4 linked regions of the Drosophila melanogaster genome follow. The protein of the gene in region 3 interacts with the protein of the main gene of each other region in a pairwise test. Each region holds a gene or a part of one and is shown on either strand. Other genes may lie near its edges. The genes, in order: Art4, CG17777, modSP and CanB.

Evidence for each region.
Region 1: the proteins of modSP (region 3) and Art4 interact in a two-hybrid assay, tested with the Drosophila melanogaster proteins (one large-scale study listed by BioGRID).
Region 2: the proteins of modSP (region 3) and CG17777 interact in a two-hybrid assay, tested with the Drosophila melanogaster proteins (one large-scale study listed by BioGRID).
Region 4: the proteins of modSP (region 3) and CanB interact in a two-hybrid assay, tested with the Drosophila melanogaster proteins (one large-scale study listed by BioGRID).

Annotation. Positions count from the first base shown.
Region 1 is NT_033777.3:9,981,953-9,988,067, forward strand, and holds Art4 (arginine methyltransferase 4), read right to left. Parts: upstream 4,109-6,115; 5' UTR 3,728-4,108; coding exon 3,526-3,727; intron 3,464-3,525; coding exon 2,570-3,463; intron 2,516-2,569; coding exon 2,105-2,515; intron 2,047-2,104; coding exon 1,961-2,046; 3' UTR 864-1,960; downstream 1-863. Other genes in the region: Glut4EF (glucose transporter 4 enhancer factor), read left to right, coding at 327-418, 4,696-4,881, 4,945-5,836. UniProt on the Drosophila melanogaster protein: Methylates (mono- and asymmetric dimethylation) the guanidino nitrogens of arginyl residues in proteins. May methylate histone H3 at 'Arg-17' and activate transcription via chromatin remodeling. Coordinates ecdysone-mediated expression of cell death genes.
Region 2 is NC_004354.4:2,184,481-2,188,411, forward strand, and holds CG17777 (uncharacterized protein), read left to right. Parts: upstream 1-2,374; 5' UTR 2,375-2,448; coding exon 2,449-2,460; intron 2,461-2,667; coding exon 2,668-2,988; 3' UTR 2,989-3,261; downstream 3,262-3,931. Other genes in the region: Nmd3 (Nonsense-mediated mRNA 3), read right to left, coding at 1-58; CG17776 (uncharacterized protein), read left to right, coding at 485-697; CG3457 (uncharacterized protein), read left to right, coding at 3,417-3,931.
Region 3 is NT_033777.3:16,651,711-16,658,034, forward strand, and holds modSP (modular serine protease), read right to left. Parts: upstream 3,953-6,324; 5' UTR 3,797-3,952; coding exon 3,730-3,796; intron 3,057-3,729; coding exon 2,753-3,056; intron 2,674-2,752; coding exon 2,192-2,673; intron 2,125-2,191; coding exon 1,821-2,124; intron 1,769-1,820; coding exon 1,547-1,768; intron 1,490-1,546; coding exon 982-1,489; 3' UTR 736-981; downstream 1-735.
Region 4 is NC_004354.4:5,330,586-5,335,577, reverse strand, and holds CanB (calcineurin B), read right to left. Parts: upstream 3,080-4,992; 5' UTR 3,060-3,079; intron 2,837-3,059; exon of another isoform or gene 2,751-2,836; intron 2,526-2,750; 5' UTR 2,478-2,525; intron 2,209-2,477; 5' UTR 2,174-2,208; coding exon 1,661-2,173; 3' UTR 1,129-1,660; downstream 1-1,128. Other genes in the region: XRCC1, read right to left, coding at 3,391-3,509, 3,568-3,896, 3,959-4,047, 4,108-4,992. UniProt on the Drosophila melanogaster protein: Calcineurin is a calcium-binding and calmodulin-binding protein found in all cells from yeast to mammals, and a calcium-dependent, calmodulin-stimulated protein phosphatase.

The sequences.
Region 1 (6,115 bases), 6.7 Mb from region 3:
CTGCTACTGCTCCACAGCTGCGACTGCAACCGCTAAAGAGCCGCCAGTTGGAGAGCTGCTGCAGAACCACCATCATGCACACTATGGCAATGAATTACTACGTGGAGCGCAGTGACTACGAGGGCTACGGTCGCCACAGTCCCACGGGGGATAGTTGCTCGCGCTCCTCCACGTCTTCCTCCGAGGATTCAGTGATGCAGCCGTATTCCCGCCAAGTACGCTAGATATTAAAGGATATATTTAATTAATATTTATATTCAAGAGCAAACTAATAATATGTAATATGTAATCAATCTAATCAGAATCACCTTCTCTTGTCATTGCAGTCCAAAAAGTTCCGATGCGTCTATCGAGGATGTGTTGGCGTGGTAGACGATCTCAATGGAGTCGTGCGTCACATTAGGAAAACACATTTGGGGTAAGTGTACAAGTGGGAATGGCACTGCTATCAGAGGATTAGGTGGCGAGCAGCAAGTGGGCGGGGCCTTGACTTAGCCACCCGACCTTCTCGTTCCTTCCCCGCCAGCACTTCCACACGCCCGGAGCGGGTGCTGAAGGTGGTGTTGGTGGTGCCTCGAAAGTAGAGCACTCGAGCACAGTAAGCAGGTCACACGAGTGCGGCGTAGCCCCTCTCCAGCACGCAGATTACTTTGCAATGCGCACCTGCAGCAGCAGGCCAGCAATAGCAGCAGTGGGTGGCAGGTGCAGTGGTGGTGGCGCTTTTGAGGCCAAGGTCCAATTCAAAGCGCCCACACACGATCCGCGCTGAGCTTTGACACTTGCCAATCTCGTTTCCTATGTAAATCGAGAGGGGTTCCAAGTGGGGGTGCACAAATAAAAGACGCGGTGGGGCTTTGTTTTTTGCTGCTTTTGCTTTGACATTGTTCTCTCATCTGCATACATGCGGTATATCTATTCGTATATATATATATATATATATAATTGTATATGTTTTGCTTTATATTTATGTTTGCAGTGTATTGGGTGTTGTAGTGTTTTTGTGTTTCTACTTGCTGCTCTATAAAGTACAGTCCGCAAACAGGATACGAATGCGAGAATGTCGGGGTGTGTATAGGTTGGCGTACCTAACGCGTATATCTAGGTGTATATGCTTATATAGCGCTCGGCTTGCTGGCAGCGATATAGTTGGGTCTATGACAGGATCTGGGCTTGGATGCGTAACTTAGGATCGAACGAGGTGTGCCTCCACTGAACTGAATTAATCATAATCGTATTGGGGGTATAAGTATAATCTCTCGACCCAGGTCGGCCTTTAGTAATGATATCGTAGCTTAGCACTAAATCCTATGAGCAATTTCTTACATTTTGAAACGAACTAAACATAAACACGGTCGACAAGTACAAAAATTGAAACTAGCTGGAGGTACACACAATATATAGTATAATAACACACATAATAGATACAGTACAATCTGAATTTGTTGGTTTGTTCAAAGCTTACGGCAAAATCTGCAATTGGCAATCGGCATATTAACTAATAAACTTCCTGAAGCGCAGTCCCGTGCGGGCTAAATATCGGTATTACAATTCACATACGTTAAAAACTCTAATTACTATGGGCTTAAATTAGCTTAGGCTTATTAATATGCTGCGTGTTCTAAACAACTACATTAGTCTGCCTTGATTTGTTGATTGTTTGTATGTTGGTTACTTGCTGGGATGCTGGATTTCCTTCGATTTGTCCGATCGATTAAATGGGTAAGAGAAGGGAGGATAAGTATAGCACGATAGGGAAAGAGGTTGTTAAAAGGTATGCAAAACAGAACAGAACTAACTTTCGAAAATAGATAAAAATATTTTACACTTTTCAATAAATAACCTAATCATAAACTGTAACAAAACAAAAATTGGCAAAATTAGGATCAAGCGTAGAAAGTGAGCGGACTTAGAGCAAAGGGAATTCCCAGAAAGATGTATTGTTATTCGATCCACCGCCCCCCTAGTGCGGATGCATAAGTCCATGAGTGATGTCCATGCCTTCGCCTATTCCGTTCACGCTGATCCCTCCATTTAGCATGCTTGAAGCTATAGAAATTATAATCACATAAGCAATGAGATTATTATATCAAGGATTTGTTCTTACAATTGCGTGATCCTTGCGTGTCCACTTGTGTCCAGTACTGCTCAGATGGACTTTGGGTACTAGTCCCCGGCGGTGCCTGGACCGGGGCCCCCGTGTACCGAAAATACGGATTCTTAAGGTCCAGGGTGTTGCTCGACGAAATCAGCGTGCCTTCGATGTGTAGGTCGATGGTCACGTCATACGACTGCCGCCGATTGGCCTCCAGTAAGACACGGCCGGTCAGCGTCTGGCCCTGCTTAATAAAGATGGGCATGGGCAGAAGGCAGCGAACCTGATACCAATGTGTCAGAGGCGCTGTGGGCGACGTTGAGAGCCACACATTCTGGCTGCTGCCGCTAAACTCCACATCAAACCAAAAGGCCAGCCCATGGCAGATGCCAGTTTGCAGAATGTGAAACTCCAGGGGGATGCCTGCGGAAAGTCAACAGTTGGCCATTGTCGCAAATCACTTTTTCGGGTACTTACTTATCAAATGCAGATCGTCCTCCTTATCGTTGAGAAAGTCGCACACGTGCCGCACCGACTTGGCCATGCATATGCGGATGTCGAAGGTGTCCACAATGGGCTGTCGGAAGTACTCCTTCATGCCCTCTTTGTGCAGCGTGGTAAGGTCAACGCCGTGGAACGCCGACTGGTACCAGAAGTTGGCCTTGTTATATTGTTCCGAGTAGAGCGATTCGTCCGAAAAGGGTGCTATGTGCAAGTCGCCGTGCGTGGGGTACATCTTTCCTTGCGGCTTGAGCCACTTTCTGGCATGCAGATAGGTCTCCAACATGCGCTCGTTGTACAGCATATAGCCCATAGGCTCTGATATGATAACGTCCACTTTCTCGGGCAGCTCGATCTCCTCGATCTTCCCCGGTATCACAGAGATCTTATGCTGCACATTGTTGGACTCAACCAGCTGCTGGGCGTACTGGGCCATGTTGGAAGCCTCAATGGCGTACACTTTGGCAGCTCCCGCCTGCACGGCAAAGAAGGAGAGAATGCCCGAGCCGGCGCCCACATCCAGGACGATCTTGTCCTGAAAATCCACAGCATTGCCTAGAATGGCCCGCTGATACGTGCTTGTCCTTACATAGTCCTGCATCATGTTCTGCTGCTGACTGAGGTAGCCGTAGAACTGGAAGTACTGCGAGGCGGACGACTCCTCAGTGCGCTGCGAGAACACGGACTTGGGTCTCAAGTGCTTCACGTTCTCCACCACTTTGCGGAAGAGCTGCTGGTCCTGCTCGCTGGCAAACCTCAGCACTAGATTGTCGGCGTCCAGGGAAACGGCATAACTCCTTCGTCCCATTTGGGCGGCATCCGTATCGGCGGCTATCATGTACTCCTTGAGCACGTGGCTCCGGTCGTCGTCTGGTGGAGAGATTGGCGATATAAGGAACGGGTTTTATGAAACATTCGATGTCCTCTTTTACCTGACACAACACGGAGGACGACACCCTGGGAATCGTAGCTGCAGAGCAGCGTGCAGCTTCCCTTGTATTTGTTGGTAAACTCTAGCTTCTGCTCGTCGGCAATCGAGCTGATTACCACGCCGCAAAATTGGCAATTGCTCAGCGGCGAAACGGAGGCGGCGGTGGCCAGTTTTCGGGCCTCCTCGGGTCGCAGGCTGGACATGTTGGCTGGCTTTTTGGAGGGTAAAGAGGCAAAGGAACAAAGCAGGACCACAAGCGTCTTTTTTCCCTTGTTAATTGACAATGTAGACCTCGCTATACACACGCACGCACGCACACACACAAACACTCTAGCACACGCACACACACAGATACGCAGATGCAGACAGACAGACGCGCAATTTTTTCTATCTGCAAAATTTTCCACCACACACAAAATGGCTGGTGACTCGGGCAGCTGGATTAATTGGCGCTGGGAACTATATAGTGCGCTGCTTTTCAACTCGGACGATTACTCAAAATCGATCGCTCTTGTTGATTTCGTATTGATTTCACACGGAACATGCGTTCTTTTTTGCAAAAAGTGCTAGAGCTGGAACAAATAGTTGAGGCTAGAGGTGGGACCAAGTCCGATGCTTTTCGATAGGATTATTACCGCGCACTACCTTAAGACTAAGCGATTTTTCAGTCTAGTGAGATTTACAAAAGAATTGTATGCAAGGAAGCTTGCATCAATCTCAATTTCATTTTGAAATATAATTGAAAAAAAATAGTGCGGGGAAAAGAAATGTAAAAAGAAATAATATAGTTTTTTAAGTGGATAGAATCAAGGTTCAGAACTCTGGAACACTTCTAGCAGGGCCTCGAACCTAATGTGGGTGGTCGGCTAGTTGGCAACGCTAGTACAAAAAAGCGGTCGCTTGAAATGGAGAGTAGGTACCTAAATGAGGTACCTTAATAAATATTGACCAAAGTTTAACAGCAATTTTTAGCATTCATTTTAAAATATTTTTCCTATTTGTTTGAATTGAATTAAATCGAATAAACAACGTTAGACAACTTAAGTTCGTTAATTTAAAAGCTATCAATCTGATTTGAAGTAATACCGAACCTAGGTACATAACTGAAGCAAACTTGCCATCACTGACACATCCTTCTAATCAATTTCGCTATTTTTCGGTGGCATTGCAGAAAGGACTCCCATCGCTCCGCGGATGATGACGGAAATGAGGAGGACTTCTACCTCGAGGATGCCGACGACGACGTCGAGCAGGTGAAGCCCACTCTGGCCTCCGAGCCGACTCTGAGTCACCGGGACATGGCGCGTCCGCCGCACGAGGATCCCGAGTACCAGAAGCAGATTGTTGGCAACTTCAAGTGGGTTCTCTTGGTGCACGATATAGATACATTTAATGACATTATCCTTTTTCGATTTTCCAGGCAAGGACGCGGCGGTAGCCACTATAACCATCTAGCGCAGTCGCACGGACGCACCATCAGTGGCAGCAACATCCCGAGCACCCACCAGCAGCAGCTGCAGAACAACAACACCAGCTGCATCCCCACTTCGCACCTAGCCCACCACAACTACACATGCCCGGCGGCGACGGCGACAGTGGGCAGCTACTCCTCCACGGGGACGGGGTCGGTGGCGGCCAGTTCATCAGCCTCGCCGATCGGCAAGCACGCTCGCTCGTCGTCCTCCCGTCCGACCCACTCGGTAGCGCCATATCCATCGCCGACGTACGTCCAGCAACAGCAGCACCACCAACACACGCACCACCACAATTACGCCGGCAGCAGCGGCAGCAGCAACAGCAGCAGCAGCAGCAGTCCAGTGATCCACAGCAATAGCAGTGCCAACAACATGCTGCAGCAGCTGTCGCAGCAGAACGTCACAGTGACGGCGCACCACAGCCAGCAGCAGCAGCAACTGCAGCAGCAGCAACACCACCAGCAGCAGCAGCAACACAGCCACCAACAGCAGCAGCAACATCTCCTGTCCAGTGTGACGATCACGCCCAATTTCCATCCGGCGCAGCAGCAGCACCACCACCAACCGATGCGCGGCCACCAGCAGCAGCATCCACAGACAACTGCCGGCAACATGGTTGCCCAAAACAACAGTAACAACCACAGCAACGGAAGCAATCCGCTGCAGCAGCAACAGCACATGGCGCAACAGGTAGCCGTCAAGCATACGCCCCATTCGCCCGGCAAGAGGACGCGTGGCGAGAACAAAAAGTGCCGCAAGGTGTACGGCATGGAGAAACGCGACCAGTGGTGCACCCAGTGCCGGTGGAAGAAGGCGTGCAGTCGCTTCGGCGACTGAAAGCGACAGAAGTCGTCGACGGAGGCGGCAAACCAGGCGTCGGCGCACCAGTCCAAGGCAGCAACAGCAGCATCATCAGCAGCATTATCATCATCAGCATCAGCAACAGCAACACCCAACCCAGAAGCAATATCAGCAACTCCCAGCCCGGCAGCAACATCCTCAACGTCCTCTAAAATGACCACCACAGTGGTGCGTTTGGCGGCCGAGGTGGCTGCCGGCAAGCAGCTACCCTCGTCGTTGACCATCAAAACCAACAAGCGCTACGGTGGCCCGGTG
Region 2 (3,931 bases), on a different chromosome or scaffold from region 3:
CGGCGCCCTTGCCGTCCGCTGCGCCCAGCGGGCTAACCCCAACGTATTCGTGATCCATGAATCCTCCGGAGGTCTATTCGGTCCAGCTATTTCACAATGGCGTTGTAGAATACGATGAAATATTCCCACGAAGTACACAAATTTGTAAACACGTGCGTATAGGTGTATATCGATTGGCCAGAGATCAGCGATATTATTAATCGGCGATTTAAGTTAAGCCTTTTCCAGCTAGAGTAGCTAAAAGTGAGATTAACGATAAAACGACGTTAAACGAGTGAGACTCAAAGCTAAATGGGACATTTGGAACGATTTCCTAAAATTCACTTAAAAATATAGTACTCATTCGACTGTCTTCATCTTTATTTTGGCTAGTAAATGTACGCCCAATTATCGATACATTCGCCGCCGTCATCACTGACAGACCAGCTGAGGCGACGGACTCGACTGCCGGAAACTTTTATGGACTTGGAAGGGATTTGCCGCCATGCAGAAGAAGCCGATTAACACCAACACGCTGCTGGACAAGCTGCACCGCGGCGCGGTGTATGCCTGCATTGGAGTCACCCTGTACGGCACCTACATCCTGGGAATGCGCTACTACCACTACTGCACGGTCATCCGACCGGAGAAGCAGCAGGCGGAGCTGAAGCTCCTGGACGAGGGAGCCCACGACAAGGCCAAGGAACTGAAGTACTAGGCGCGCCCTCCTCCGCCCCTTTAATTGTTAAATGTCTGTTAAGCGCAATAAACTGTAAGGAAATGTAAGCATTTTCAGCTGAAAACGGCCAACGCCGGTTGTTGTTGTGTAACCTCGGACAGCTGGCCAAAGTGGAGGACCGTCGGCAGGCCCGGTGGGATTGTAAGATTCCAGATTCAAGATCTAACCCTGGAACCAAGCCAACAATGCGCAATTAGCCGTCTGGGCCGTAAATCAAACTGGTCGGCTACAATGGGAAATCAATCAATCGACAGCGACATGGACATCGACCCGTTCGGCGGACTAGACTTAGTCAAGAATTATAATTTAGCTGGCAATCAAATATGTTGTCATCTCCGGATCGTGACCAGGTCCCAGTCCATAGACCAAACCCCTTGGCTGCTTGGTCTTCCGCTTGCCCAACGCGTCTCGCGTGCATTCACCTCCAATGGGCAGAGCATAAATATTAAACGATGTGGATACGAAAACAACCGCGGGGAGAAGGAGACAATGGCGGTGCCACCCACTTTTGGCCAGAGATGGCGAGACGTCGTCGATTGGGAAAATCTTTTGCATGCTTCATTCAACAATGTTGCCTCCGGCGTTGCTTCATTCATGACTTGGGAACTCGGAGCAGCAAAAGCAACAGCCGCAGCAGACTGCAATTGCGATTTGCAATTGCCACTGCGGTCAAGGTCGTCCTTTATTGTGTGGGCACGGCACTGGGTACTGGGTAGCAAGTACCCCCGGCAGACGGAAGTGATCGAGAATAATGGAACGCGCAGAACAGAGTCGTCTGCCCAAATGGCTATCAAATTGTTTTAAAACTTTAGTATATTAAGCAAAAGCTGTGCTCCTCTGAATAGAAGATCTCTTCAACCTAGTTTCAAGCCCATTAAAACTAATGACCATTGACCTGGTCACCGATCCTTGTCCCAATATACCCCTTAAGCCAGAGGTCTCCGTCAAAGTCGTGCACTTTGGATATTCTGTCGATAAGACTTTGCATTGGAAATGATCTGGCAGAGATCTCAGCTGTCTGGCAGCTTAATTAAAATGCCAAAACGCTGCCAAACGTGCAATTGTTTGTAATTTGTGTATAATGCTGGCGCGCATATGCGATTCCCACGGGGCCAGTGGCATCCCAGCATTTGGCCAGCTTCTGAACGAGCTTAGGTAATAGTGCGCCTTTTGGGCGCTGCTGGCCATCCGATCTGGCAGTGAAAGTGTTACACGATATGCATACCGTGTACGAGAGGGGCACTTGGTGATTGTGGAACGCGTCGAGTGTCTCGTGTTGCACGTTGCTTGTGGATCGCGTTGCTGCCCCACTTCGGTTACCCAACGAGCCTGGGATCTTAGAATTTCGACTACGCTGGCAATTATAACCGATATCGTTAGTTTCCACGCCCACTCCACCTCACTCCCCCCACTGCAATCCTCCGCCAAGTTCTCCTCCGCCGGATGAGCGGATGGATGACCTTTTGGCTCCGCAGCATAAACAATATTCGGTTTCAAGTCCTCAACCCGTCATGCATTCAATTCAGCTGCAACAATCGCTGCTGCTGCTGCTGCTGCCGCCGTTATTGTCAGTTTGCATAATTGCAACTGTAGCAGCAACTGGCAACAATAAGCCAAGCCGGGTGACTATAAAAGCGTCGGGCCACTGGCAGCCATCAACAAACCTCGCCTGGCGCCCTACCCATCAAGTCAACCAGCCAACAGCCACTAGCAACATCTGCAGCAGCAACATGAAGTTCTTGGTAAGCAGCAACACCAGGACATTAGGATACCAGGATACCAGGACACCGGTCAAGCAAACGAGTGGACTTTTTTTTGAGTGACAGTTTATCCAACAAAATACAAGTTATTTAAAATTGCTGGAAGTGCTCTGGCTACAATTTGAAACAAATCATTTGTTAACATCGTTTCAAATGTTTCATATACCGAACCTTTTTTTCTCTGTGCAGTGCGTGTTCGTCATCCTGGCCATTTGCTTCATGAGCACCTGGGCAGCAGTTTCGGAGCCTGCTCCTGAAGCTCTGGAGCCGGAGCCATCCGCCGTGGATGAGAAGAAGACGGAGAAGAGAGGCATCTACGGGTTCGGCCACGGCTATGGCGGCTACGGCGGATACGGCGGATACGGTGCCTATGGACACGGTCACTACGGCGGCTACGGTGGACTGAGCAGTCCCTACTACGGCGGCTACGGATACGTCCATGCGGCGCCCTACTACGGCGGACACCACGGCTACTATCCGTACCACCATGGCCACTACGGCTTCTACTAGGACCACTACCTATCCCCAAGATCGTAATGCATACTGTTTTTTTTTTCTCGATCGCTCCATGCTCATCACTGCACCATCATTCGTATATGTATATGTACTGGTTTTCCCCCATCATTCACCGCAATATAAATGTACTGCAAATAGCGAATACATTACTCGCATGTCTTTGAATTTGGGTTGGATGTAGTACAAATATGATATATGTACATATGTAAACAAAGTTAAATCCTACTCAACAATAAAGAATCGATTACATTGCATATGTATGACAGTAAAAGTGATTTTCGGTCACTCTATGGGGGCCAGTGAAGGTATAAAGCCGCTATTGGCCCAGTGACTGTTATACAAAAGTCACTGTTCTAATTGCGATCGGCGCGTGACCACCAGTCTTTCGGATCATCAGCAAAAATCAGGAATTCGACTTCGAGATGCTGAAGCGCGATCTGCAGAAAATCACACTCAAGCTGTCCGATCTCAAGGACTATGAGGTTGCCCGCCAAAAGAACAAGTTAAAGGGCGCCCCGCGACCTAGGCTTTCTCAGGACGCCCTCCCCGGAGACGACGCCTCCACTTCGGGAACAACGGCAAGTTGCAGTTCCAACACGGAAACGGCCACGGAAACCGCATCGGGATCCGGATCAGGGTCTGGATCGGGCTCGGGTTCTGGGTCCGGGTCGTACATTACGGGAATGGGCTACCGTTCGGAGACACCCTCCTCCGCATCGTACACCACGTCGACGACCCCGACTCCGGCCACTCAGGAGGAGATACTGAGACCCTCGTCCGCCGTCACGGCCACCACAACCACTGGCACCACTAATTCCGGCTCCACGGATGACGTGAGCGTGGCGGCCGTAGTGGATGACACGGATACCATTGACGAAATCAGCGATGACAACTGGGTGGACCTGAATGCGGACACCAACGATACCGTTGATACCCA
Region 3 (6,324 bases):
TATATCATTATCACTGGCGTACATAAGTTCGTTCCAGCTATCAAGGCTTATATTCTCAACCTTGGGATCTCTAGCAGTGGGCTCCTCGGCTATCCCCTTAATCACCTGATCGCAGAAATCCCTTAGACTCTCCAGGTCGGGCAGTTTAGGCCCAGTGAAATCCCCAAAGAAGAATACCTTTCCAGTTGAATTTGCGGCGTATATCAGGGGAAATGAGTCCACTGTACATCCTTCGTCACTCCGAGAGAAGCTGAAGTCATCCTCATTGAAGATGAACGACTGCCACAGATCGTCCACGAAAAAGTCCATCTCGCCGCCAAGAAACCCAGGGGCAGCTAGTCGGTATACCACATCTATCCATTTGTCTAGCGCACCGATATCATCCGCAAACACATGAAGAACCACGAGGGTCGGTCGCCTGTGGATCTCCCACGATGATCGCAATTTTCCAAAATTGGGAAGTCGCTGCAGTCGGTCCTTGTATTTTTCGGGAAAAAAGGTTTTGAAGTTCGGCGGCGGCGGGTTGTAGCCGCAGTAATGTGCAGACATGTTTACATCATTCAATTGGCCAACCAAATGAAATTGCGGTGCGGTTGACTCATAATCAGCTGATTAGTCATAATAGTTGATTAAATACGATTGCAGTGGTGGGCTTGAGTTTCCGACTTATCGATAGGAATTAAGTTCGATTTTTGTTAGCCGGTCAAAATTTGAATCAAATTTCACTTAACCGGTATTGCTCAATAATTTGGTATTTCAAAATTTATGAAGTATCAATAAACATAATGTTGAGGATTAGAGGGTAAATAGCTTAGTGTGGCAATTGGCAATTGTCCTTTACAAAGAACTGACTTGAAATAACCTAATACACAATTGCCCTTTGAGATTCACCCTTCGCAATGTTTCGATAGAAAATAGGTTTGACGACTTAAATAAAATCTCTTAAAATAAATCTATTGTAATCACAATAAGTGCCCGGACTCAGGACCTAGTTTCCACGCTCCTGTTCATCGCATTCAGGATCATATCCTCGAAGTGCTGGATGTTGGTCATCACGGTCAGGCTGTGGGCACACTGATCTGCATTGGGTGCATTGCTGATCACCCCGAAGAGGAAGTGACGGGCGGTGTTCCAGGTGGAGAAGGCGTTGGTCGGCAGCTCGGAGGTGAATCCACCGCCACTGTCACCCTGGCAGGCGAGCGACTTGCCCTGCGTGAAGATGCAGAACTTGTCCGCCTGGATGTCCCGCAGATTCCGACGGCACACGGAATTCGACTTGGACACGGCCGGCACAAACTGGAGTTCGTGCTTGTTCTCGATGTTCCAGCCAGCGAACTTGCCCTGCACATCATCCGTGACGCTCTCCTTCTCTGCAAAGCTGGCGAAGGTAACGCAAATGGGCCGGATTACGTGGCTCAGCTCGAAGGGCTCGTCGAGGGTCAGAAGGGCCAGATCCTGGTAATAGTTTTCCGTCCTTCCTTTGTAGCCACTGCAGGTAATAAACCAGTGCTAAGAAACATGAAGGAGCCAGTTTCTTTTTACTTACGGTGCTATTTCTATGAGCCTCACATCCCGTCGCTTTTCTTCCGGAGTAGTTTCTCCGTAATTGCGATAGAACTTGGCCGCAATCACCCGGAAGGTGTCGTAGCTGTAGGGCAGTCGAGTACCCTCGTCGTATACGCAATGTGCGGCGGTTATGACTAGGTCCGGGGTGAGTAGCGATCCTCCGCACTGAAAGTGGTAGTCCTTCTCGTTGTGCCACACATATCTACACAGGGAATATCAATGAAATCATCGGGATGGATAGTTAGCAGACTTACAGTCCCACATGCCAGGGCACAACCGTGTTGTTGATCGTATAGCCGCCGGACGAGAACTGTTTTATGGGCGTGGCTAGCTGGCCGCAGTCCTGCTCGCATCGCTGGCGTCCGCGGTTCCAGTATCCTCCCTTCATGCACCGCATTTCTGGCAGTGGGCTCAGGGTCTTGAATCCGGTGGAGCAGACAAACTTCACTTCGGTGCCGGGCGGATGGAATGGTTTGCGGCATTCCACTTGCTGTCCATTGTGGGTGCACAAGGCCTTCGTGGAGTAGCCATCGAATTCTCCGGCAGTGCTGCAGTATTCTACGGAAAAGCAAGGAGTACATGTGAGAAATTATTACCAGGGAACGGGCAAAACACAGTCACTCACTCACGCATTTCGGGATTGTGGAAGTACTCCACTTGTTCTTGGCGCAGTAGCTGCTCTCCTCTCCCTCCAGCACATATCCCTGCTTGCAGGAGAATCGCACTGTTCCCCGGGTGATGGGTCCAGTGAGGACGCGGCTGCCGTCACCCGTCAGGATGGGCCTTTCGTCGCCAAGTGGCAAGGGGCATCCGAGCAGCTCCAGCGGAGTCTCAGTCACCACGGGTGTGGTCACCTTTTTGGTGGTGTTGCATAGCAGTGGTGCCTCATCGGATCCGTCATAGCAGTCGTTTTCCCCATTGCATGACAATGACCCCGAGATGCAGCCACCTGTTCCGCACTTGAAGGAGTACGCTGGACACTCCATGTGGCCGCACAGTTCCACCGACTCGTCAAAGCCCGTTCCATCCGCACAGTCGTCCTTGCCGTCGCACAGAAAGTTGCTCTTGTCCAGGCAAATTCCGGATGGGCATTTGAACTCATTTTCCCTAAAGGGGAAGAGAAGCAATTAATGTATCCATTCCTAGTCCTCATCCTGTTATCTACATTCTACATTTCAGTACTCACTTGCAATTGCCTTGAAGCCGTCGGTCGTGCTGCCGTATATCGTCCTCGTTGCCGCATCTCAACCTGGTCTCATCGGAACCATCTGCGCACTCATTGACTCCATTGCACCCAGCTGTCCCGATCACACATGCTCCATAGGTGCACTGGAAATAGGGCTTGGTGCAGTGCTGCCGCTGGGAGACACAGGTCAACGCCGTCTCATCGGATCCATCCGGGCAGTTCTTCTCGCCATTGCAGACATCGTACTGCGAAATGCAGCTGCCGTTGTCGCACTCAAACTGTGAGCTGTCACATGCCGCAAATACTTCAAAAATGATCCTTTCGATTATTATATTATAAGGACAATCGCGTGTTCCTTTACTTAATTGTTCTGATTGCGAAACCACATATATTGGAATCAAGTTTCATTCATTTAGAGCACTTTTACTTTTGGTTCTTAAATTTTTTAAGAGTAAGAGATTTGTTACTCATATATACTTAATATATAAACTACACTTTAAATTTAAGTTTAATGAAAACTTACGTTAAGTAACTTAGTAACTTTTCTCCCTACATTTACAATTTATGCAAATCGGCAGAAAAATTGATAATCCCTATTGCGCTTTTAATATTCTTTATTTTATTTTATTTTTTTCCTCATTTGATTATTGCGATTGTGTAATGTTGTATAGCTATTTTTCTTAGCATTTGAGTGGGTTAAGCTGCCTGTTAAAACTACCGCAGCTTAACTAAATTACCGCGTTTTTTATTATTTATTTCCGTAAACATTCTCTCTCCCTTCACACTTAGTCAGCACCCTGGAGTGTAATAAACAAACTGAAAATCGACAGAGATAAACAGATCGCGATTTCAAGATGAACCGGCTCAAATCGTGTTCTGAGAATCTCTCTTCGAGAACAACGCATTTACATATGTACATATGTACAGAAAGTGTTTATTTTCGTTCCATTTGTATTATCATTTTGAACTTTACTCACTTGTTCTGAATTTCAATAAAAGCGCGCAGAAGAACAATGGATTTGATAAAAACGATATTAGTTGCATAATCCTTATTTCTGATGCACTGTTATGCACTCGATCCAGGTGCACAAGGCAATCACATAGGTATGCCTAAAACAAGTGCGTGCTGATTAAAGTCGTCTGGAAAGCACTTGCCGCCGAGCTAAGAACGACTCCGACCGAGCTTACAAAGCGAACTGAGCTCCAATGTGTTCAAGCCGAATCTCATACCAATCTGAAAACACGTTTTAAGAGCACCTCATCAGTATCGATTGGAGTGCTTAGAGCTGCAGTTCATAATATAAGTCGAGTGAGTGTAGTATTTATATCTCATTTCATTCATCAATATCTATCGATATCGCAGAAAAATAAAATATGAAATTTCGTGTTCGCACTTCCACTAGTTGAGTATTGGGTATCTGATTGTCGGGGAAGTCGACTATAGCATTCTCTCGTGTATTAAACTTTTACCAAATTCATTTTGGAGACTTTTCTCTCAATGGTTTGAGTCCGCGCTAAAAGTGGGCGTTTAGCTAAATTCTTTTGAAAGAATTTAAGGAAATTAATTGAAAAATCAATTTCTTTTATTTTTAAAGAAGTAGTTTTCGAAATGTACCGATATCATTTTTTACATAAAAAGTCAGTCGTAAAAATTTATTCAATTAATAAAAACGCTTAAATAAAAATGACAATCTTATAAACACCAAAAAAAAATTTTACGTTTTTTTTAAATTCTCAATTTTTTTGGAAATTAAATTTTTTGACGCTAGTGCTGCCAGATCTTCGAAATAAGGATTGGCTTCCCCGTAATCTTTTTCAGATCGATATTCATTTCCATCCGTTCTACGCATAGCGTAAGATGTAGAAACTACGAAGTCTACATTACACGTGTGTAAAATATACCTTTACATTTGTATGGTTTGAATTTCCACTGAAAATTTTATTCCTGGATAGCACGGCAAGAAAAACTTAACGTTTTATTGGCTTTCTTGGAACAAGATACTTCCTAAGCCAAGAAAGTATGGCGCCAAATGGAGAATATTGCTATTAAAAATGTAGAACGAAGGACTGCTATTTTAAGAGTACCGCAAAACTATCCTTTCGAATTACCTACAATTCCGAAACCAACTATTTCACATTAATAATCCAAAGGCATCTTTTAAATTATTTAAATCGTTTTGTTTAATTTATTTGTTTCATTTTCCACATTCTCACTGGTTGCTGTTTGTTTTGTGTTTGTTCTTTTTACGTGTAGTTTATATTGATAATTTACAACTTACGGAGCTAACATAGAATGGCATTAAATTAGAGTTACATCGATTAAGTATGAACGGAGCCTGCGGGTCCAATCTTCGATCGCGGGGAGGGGAAATTACAAGTAGAAAATGTAACCGCAAAGTATCTGTAGGTCTGATCTGATCGGATGAAGTAGGTATATAGGAAAAGTAGTAGTCTCTTATGGATAGGCCTGCTCGGCCGAGGGTCAGAGAGTTTAAAGTAAAAGCCACTAGCAAATGTACAAGTAAGTAGCGATTATTTAACTATTTACTACGAATGCACTGGTAAGTAAGTAGTAGGTAAGTGGTCGGATGCAGTACTGTATGCAAGACCTCACCGAATCGTCTTCCTTTTACGTATATCTGTTGCTACGATAATCCACGTTTAAATATTTATGTATTGTATTTTAGCGTCTATTCTTGGTTTGCGGTGGCGGGGACATCCCATTCGATCCACGCATATGCGTTTAAAATCTATAACATTTAACTTATTCTTATTTACGTATTTGCATCTGCCTTCGTTCCGTTCCGCAGAATTACTCTCTTATTGTTTGTCCATTTCGACTCGATCCCCACATACATAAGTACATAAATATATATCAAGATTTATAAATATAATATATCTATAATCGAATCTTAGGCGGTAGTACGTATACATCTTCTGCAGGACCTCGTTACGAACGGCCCCAACTGGGACCACCATGGAAACTCAACTGAAGGATCAATTATCGGGACACACACACGGAGCGCCTTGTGGCTTGAGTCGAGCACAGCTCGTTGGATCCACTAAACTATATATATGGTATTGGTATCGGTATGGTATCGTTATAGCTAATCGGTATGGGTATCTCTATAGAGCGTACAACTCACGATCAATTAACGGCTCAAAACGAGATCAAAAGCAATTTCGCATGCAAGCGGGTAGCCCGCGAAGACTCTCTCAAACAACTCAGGCTCTAATTACACTGGGAGAACGGAAAATCGCAATGGCAGAACTAAAATAATAACACAACAATCGGATTCGATTTCTCATTGTTTTTTTTTTTTGTTTTCTTTAGATTTTTTCAAAACCAATAATTTATTTGCGTTTGCCGGGGCAAACGGTTTGTCGCACTCCTCTTCTCGCCGCTTCTGTCGGATAATCTCATAAACGCTTGTCATTAAACTAAACATAATAATAATAAAATTAGGCATTAATTTAATTTAAAAAGTAAACACACTACACATTACTTAAAGAAACAGCTTCACTCTAGTCGTTTGGGCGAGAACTAAACAAATTCGTTTACAAATAAACAG
Region 4 (4,992 bases), on a different chromosome or scaffold from region 3:
GGGGGCAGGGCCCAGGCGAAAATGATTAACGAACCAGCTTGCGACAGACAGCATATAATAATTTATTGATACCACGCACACACACTCACGCATTCTCGCACACTGGCGCACACAAAGGACCCTCGCAGGACCTCCCTAGTTCACTAATACTGTGGCCCAATCGCCCAGCAGGTGACTCCGTGGTCAAGGCTCTGTTACCGTACAAGTTCTACGCGGACCCAACAGCTAGTTGGCTGGCTTCCTGTTGTCCACACTGCGAGAAATTCTTGTTGAGTTCGGTACCAAAAATGTGGGAAATATATAAAATAGTATTCTGCGGCAGCAGGGATGATCTTCTCCAACTGATTTGTATTGAACAACATGGCGTATACGTAACATTTTTTTAAGTGTTTTATATCAACATGGATTATCATCTCTTAATGCTTTGCGATATTTATGTTCTATTTTAAATCCACAGGAAGGCTCCGCATTCGCAAATTTGTACTGAACAACGTGGCGTATACGTAATATTTATGTTTCATTAGTAGATAGATGTTTTATATCAATGGATAAACTTTTCCCACTCATTTGTGACATTTCTGCTCTATACTAAGGTAATTTTAATCTCAACATGGATGAACTTCTTCCACTGCTTTGTTCTAAACAACGTGGCGTATACGTAACATGTATGTTGGTGTGTCTTGTCACATGAGGGACGTCACACACACACACACGTGTAGTTGGAAAATCGGTGACCTACAAAACATTTAATCGTTGCCAACGGCCAAAAAGTTTTCGGTTACTTTCGGCCGGTGGCTTCCTTCCCACATTTTGTGGTGACCATCTTCTACGGGGTCGGCTTTCGGGAATCCGGAATTTCGGGCGCCGAGCTGAACGACACGCACGTGTTCTTCGTCCAAGGACTCGCGGACCGTGGAACTCTGAGGGCATCTGAACCCGCCGGCCAAAGAACCCAGCCCACATTCGTCCACCTCCCATCAACAGATAGTGGTAGTACAACGAAAAATCACCAAGTAAACGCTTGTTGGGGGTTTTGAGTTTAGCTTTGCGATAAACAGTGTTTAATTGTAGTTGTTGTTGTAGTTTTCTTTTGTCAATTTTTTTTTTTTTTTTTTTTTTGATTTTTTTACATATCTTATACACAACATTTAGTCGAGAGATGAACTTAAGTGTTAGGCTTGAATTGAACGTAGAGTTTAGGATATAGTACAAACTAGTTTAAGATGATGCGAACAATCCCAATCGTAGAGCTGTTCGAACCTCGAAAGTATGTCATTTCGAATGGAAGGAGGAATGGAAGGAGGGGTATAGATGAGTTCTTTGGTTGAGTGGTCCGTTGCCGGTGGTTTCAAGTATGAGTATAAGACACAATTCATTGCATTCTGTGGATGATAGAGATCGATCGGTTTGGATCGTTTGGAACAAAGTGTACTCTATATATATGCGATAGGTATCAATAAATTGAGTAAACTGCTTCGTTTTTGGCACGCCTCAAACGCCCTCACAGACTCACAGACAGACCGTTTATTATAAAGCTGAACATGTTTCAAGGGAAGTGAAGGTACACACACACACACACACACTCATTACGGAAAATCGGCTATACATATTGTATCATATCTACAATTGTATATATATAGTACTCATTATGTGGCTCAATCTAAACATCGACAACCATTTTCTTGTGAATATCGGTATTGCCCACCACCGAGCAGAATTCATCGAACGATATCTTGCCATCCTCGTCCTTGTCCGCAAAGCAAATGGTCTTGTCCACGATCTGCTGCAGCTGTGTGTCCTTCAGATTGTTGCCCACCATCATCTTGAGCACCTGGAAGAGTTCCCCGTTCGAGATGTAGCCATCATTGTCCATATCATAGATGCGGAAGGCGAATCGCAGCTTGGACAGCTTATCGCCGCGCACGCTAAACTGCGACACTCCCTGGATAAACTCCTTGAAGTCCACCTCCCCGTTTCCATCCGCATCGAAGATATCGATAACCCGCTGCACCAGCGGATTCTGCTGCAATTCCGGCAGCGACATGAACTCATCTATGCTCAGCGCACCCGAGTTGTCCAGATCCAGCTTGCGGAATCGCTTGCCCAGCCTACGGATCTCGTCCGCATCGAAGTTGGAACACATGTCCATGGGCAGGGAGGTCTCGTTACCCATGCTGGCCTTTGGTTACTTAGTTCTCTGGTCTAGATCTGCGAATGGAACGCAAGCGTTAGAAGGCAGGGCATTCTGCTCTACGGAGAAAAAGATGATTCCAAATGAATTTCGATAATAAAAAAAAATATATCATCAGAGAATTGAGGAACATTTGAGTTACCAATGAGAAAAATTAGAAGGATATTCGGTATGTGCAAAAACTGATGCATACTCCCAGGCTGCCCAATGTTCCACTTCTCACTGAATAGCTTCGAAATCATTTGGATTGCACTTTTTCTCAGCGTTTTCAGCACGACTTTCTTACCCAAAATTTTTGTTGTTAATAACTCAATTTTTCAACGACTGGCACGCTCTAAAAAAAAAAAGGGGGGGTGAAGTGCAAGTTAGCAGCATACTTTTAATTATGGCTCAATCGTATCGATTTTTCCAAATTCCACAACTTTTCACCACTCGTTTTCGCTTCAGCAAGGTTGGAGTGGAATCTCTGCAGTGGCACAAATCCGGATGGAACTGCGTTGGCCAGGATGCTTGGGTGAATCGCATTGCGAAAACGCAAGTGGTAGCCATAGATATTTACCATAAATAAACAATAGTTGCGCTGGATTGTTAAATTCCCAAAAAAAAAGCTCTCTACTCGCTCGACAGCAAATACACGACTGCAGGCGAGTGAGAGAGTTTTCACCGTTAGCTCTCGCCAACGAGTGGGAGAGCGCGGAGAGCGCAGCTGTCAAAAGCGGACAGCTGTTGCTTTTCCACCTGTTTTTTTTTTTGTTCTTTTCGGGGGCTGCAAATTGGTTTTCCACTTGTGCACTTTCGCTATCTTTTTAGTCTTTTTAATGCATAGTTTTGGGCGTAAACGGGTTTTCTTCGCTTAACCATAGCATGCCTATGGGTGGAAAGTCCTTGTAGTACCGTGCTATGCGTTAGTACATTTTTTGTGAATTTCTGCTAGAGATGGACCATCGCATTAGCCCAGAGGTGGTTTATTTGATAGTTTTTTTTAAATGAACATGCGATAGATCTATTATAATATCAATATTTATTCCTTGGGCTCTTTTTTCAAAATGGTCCAAACTAATCACTTATTTTGAATTTGTCGAATTTTTGATAACGAGCATATTCGATTAACAAAGTACAAAAATATGATACTTGCACATTACAAGCAATTTAAGTAATAAAGTCGTATACAAAATATGAGATGAGGTTAGAAATGGCACCTAATCGATTTGTTTCTTCTTTAGCTCCAGATAATCCTCTTCATCGGTACTAACTTCGTATATATCTTGCGATTTCGTCTTTACTGTAGTCCTTAGTTTGGCTTTCTTCGTTTTGTTTTCTAAAAGCAAACAATAAAATATCTAAAAAAAAACAGGGCAGAACAACAGAGAGTTTACCCTCAGCCACGCGCTGCAGTTCATCTTCCGTATCAATGCCCGATAAGGCATCTGGATTCATTTCCACATCATTCTGATCCGCTAGAGCTGTTAGCTTGCTATCCTCTAGCATTGCCACATCATCCTTGCTGGAATCGCGCCGTGGCCTCGTCGCCTCATCGCAAAGCTCCTCATCGCTCTCCGGCTGGCCAATGTCATTGGTATCCAGGGCGTAACGTCGCCATGGCAGGTACTTCTTCAGCTCATAACATTTCTCGATCCAACTGCGTGTCACAATCTTGCCCTTGCCCTTCACTTGATTGTATTTCGGTGTGTTTTTGAATGCGCATCTGTTTGGGTTTCATTTTAAGAATTAGCGGGCGCATACTAGATCAATCTGGACTTCACTTACATCAGATGGGTACATCCTGATCCCCAATCAGCCTTATACTTGGCTCCCAAGGCGACCGCTTTCGAACGCAAGTCTGCACGATCGGGATTCTGAAAGCAGAAGGGATGGGTTTAAATCGAGTTGTGATGCAATCAAAAGAATTTCCTTGCCTGTATGCCACTGATGACCAGGACCACACCCTTGAGTAACTGATTAAGGGGACGGTATTGAATCGCTGTGTCCACGATCTTTTGCTTTTTGGCGGGCGTTACTGCGACTGCGGTGGGAGATGAATGTCGCTTTTGCGCAGTTGGGCGCGAACTTTCCTTGGAATTCGAGGTGTCCGAAGATCTGTGATCATGCTTAGATTTCTCCTTCCTCCTGGACTTCTCCTCCTTCGAATGCGATCTTTCCTCTTTTCGTAATTGCTCTTTCTCTTCTTTGGCTGTGGATTTTTCTCTGGAGGACGAATTGTGCTCCTTTGCCGGTGGTTTGTCTTCTTTGCTGATTGACTTATCCAAGGAGTGCCTGCTTGACTTTTTCTTTCTGCTCTCCCTCTCCTTTTCCTGCTCCAATCGCCGTCGATCCTTGTCCGCCTCCAGATGCTTGCTCAGCCGTTGTTTCTTTGCATTGACCTCAGCGTCCTTCACGTCCTCATCATCGTCGCCGAACAAGAGTGAAGCTCGATTGCGATCCAGGGGCTTGGCATCCAATGGCGTCGGAGAAACCGATCGCAGAGCATTGAGAACTGGTGATGGCGACGTCGAGGTTTTGGGCGATGCAGCCAGGCTAGAAACCTTGCCAGCGCTCAGCCTTCGCAGGGCCGTGGAGCCGGCGTCCCGAATGGCCGCTGCTGTGGAGGTCGCACTGATCGCGGGCGACTTGTGCTGCGTCTGCTTCTTCCAGCTGTGAAATCTGTTCACTTGATTGTCCGTTTCCGAGTCCGGCGACTCCTCGCGCAGCTTAAAGGTCCCGAATTGCATAACACCCTGCGGCACTAGGGATTTGACCTTAGGCGCCGCAGCAGCCACTACATGCACCTTGACGAATGAGAG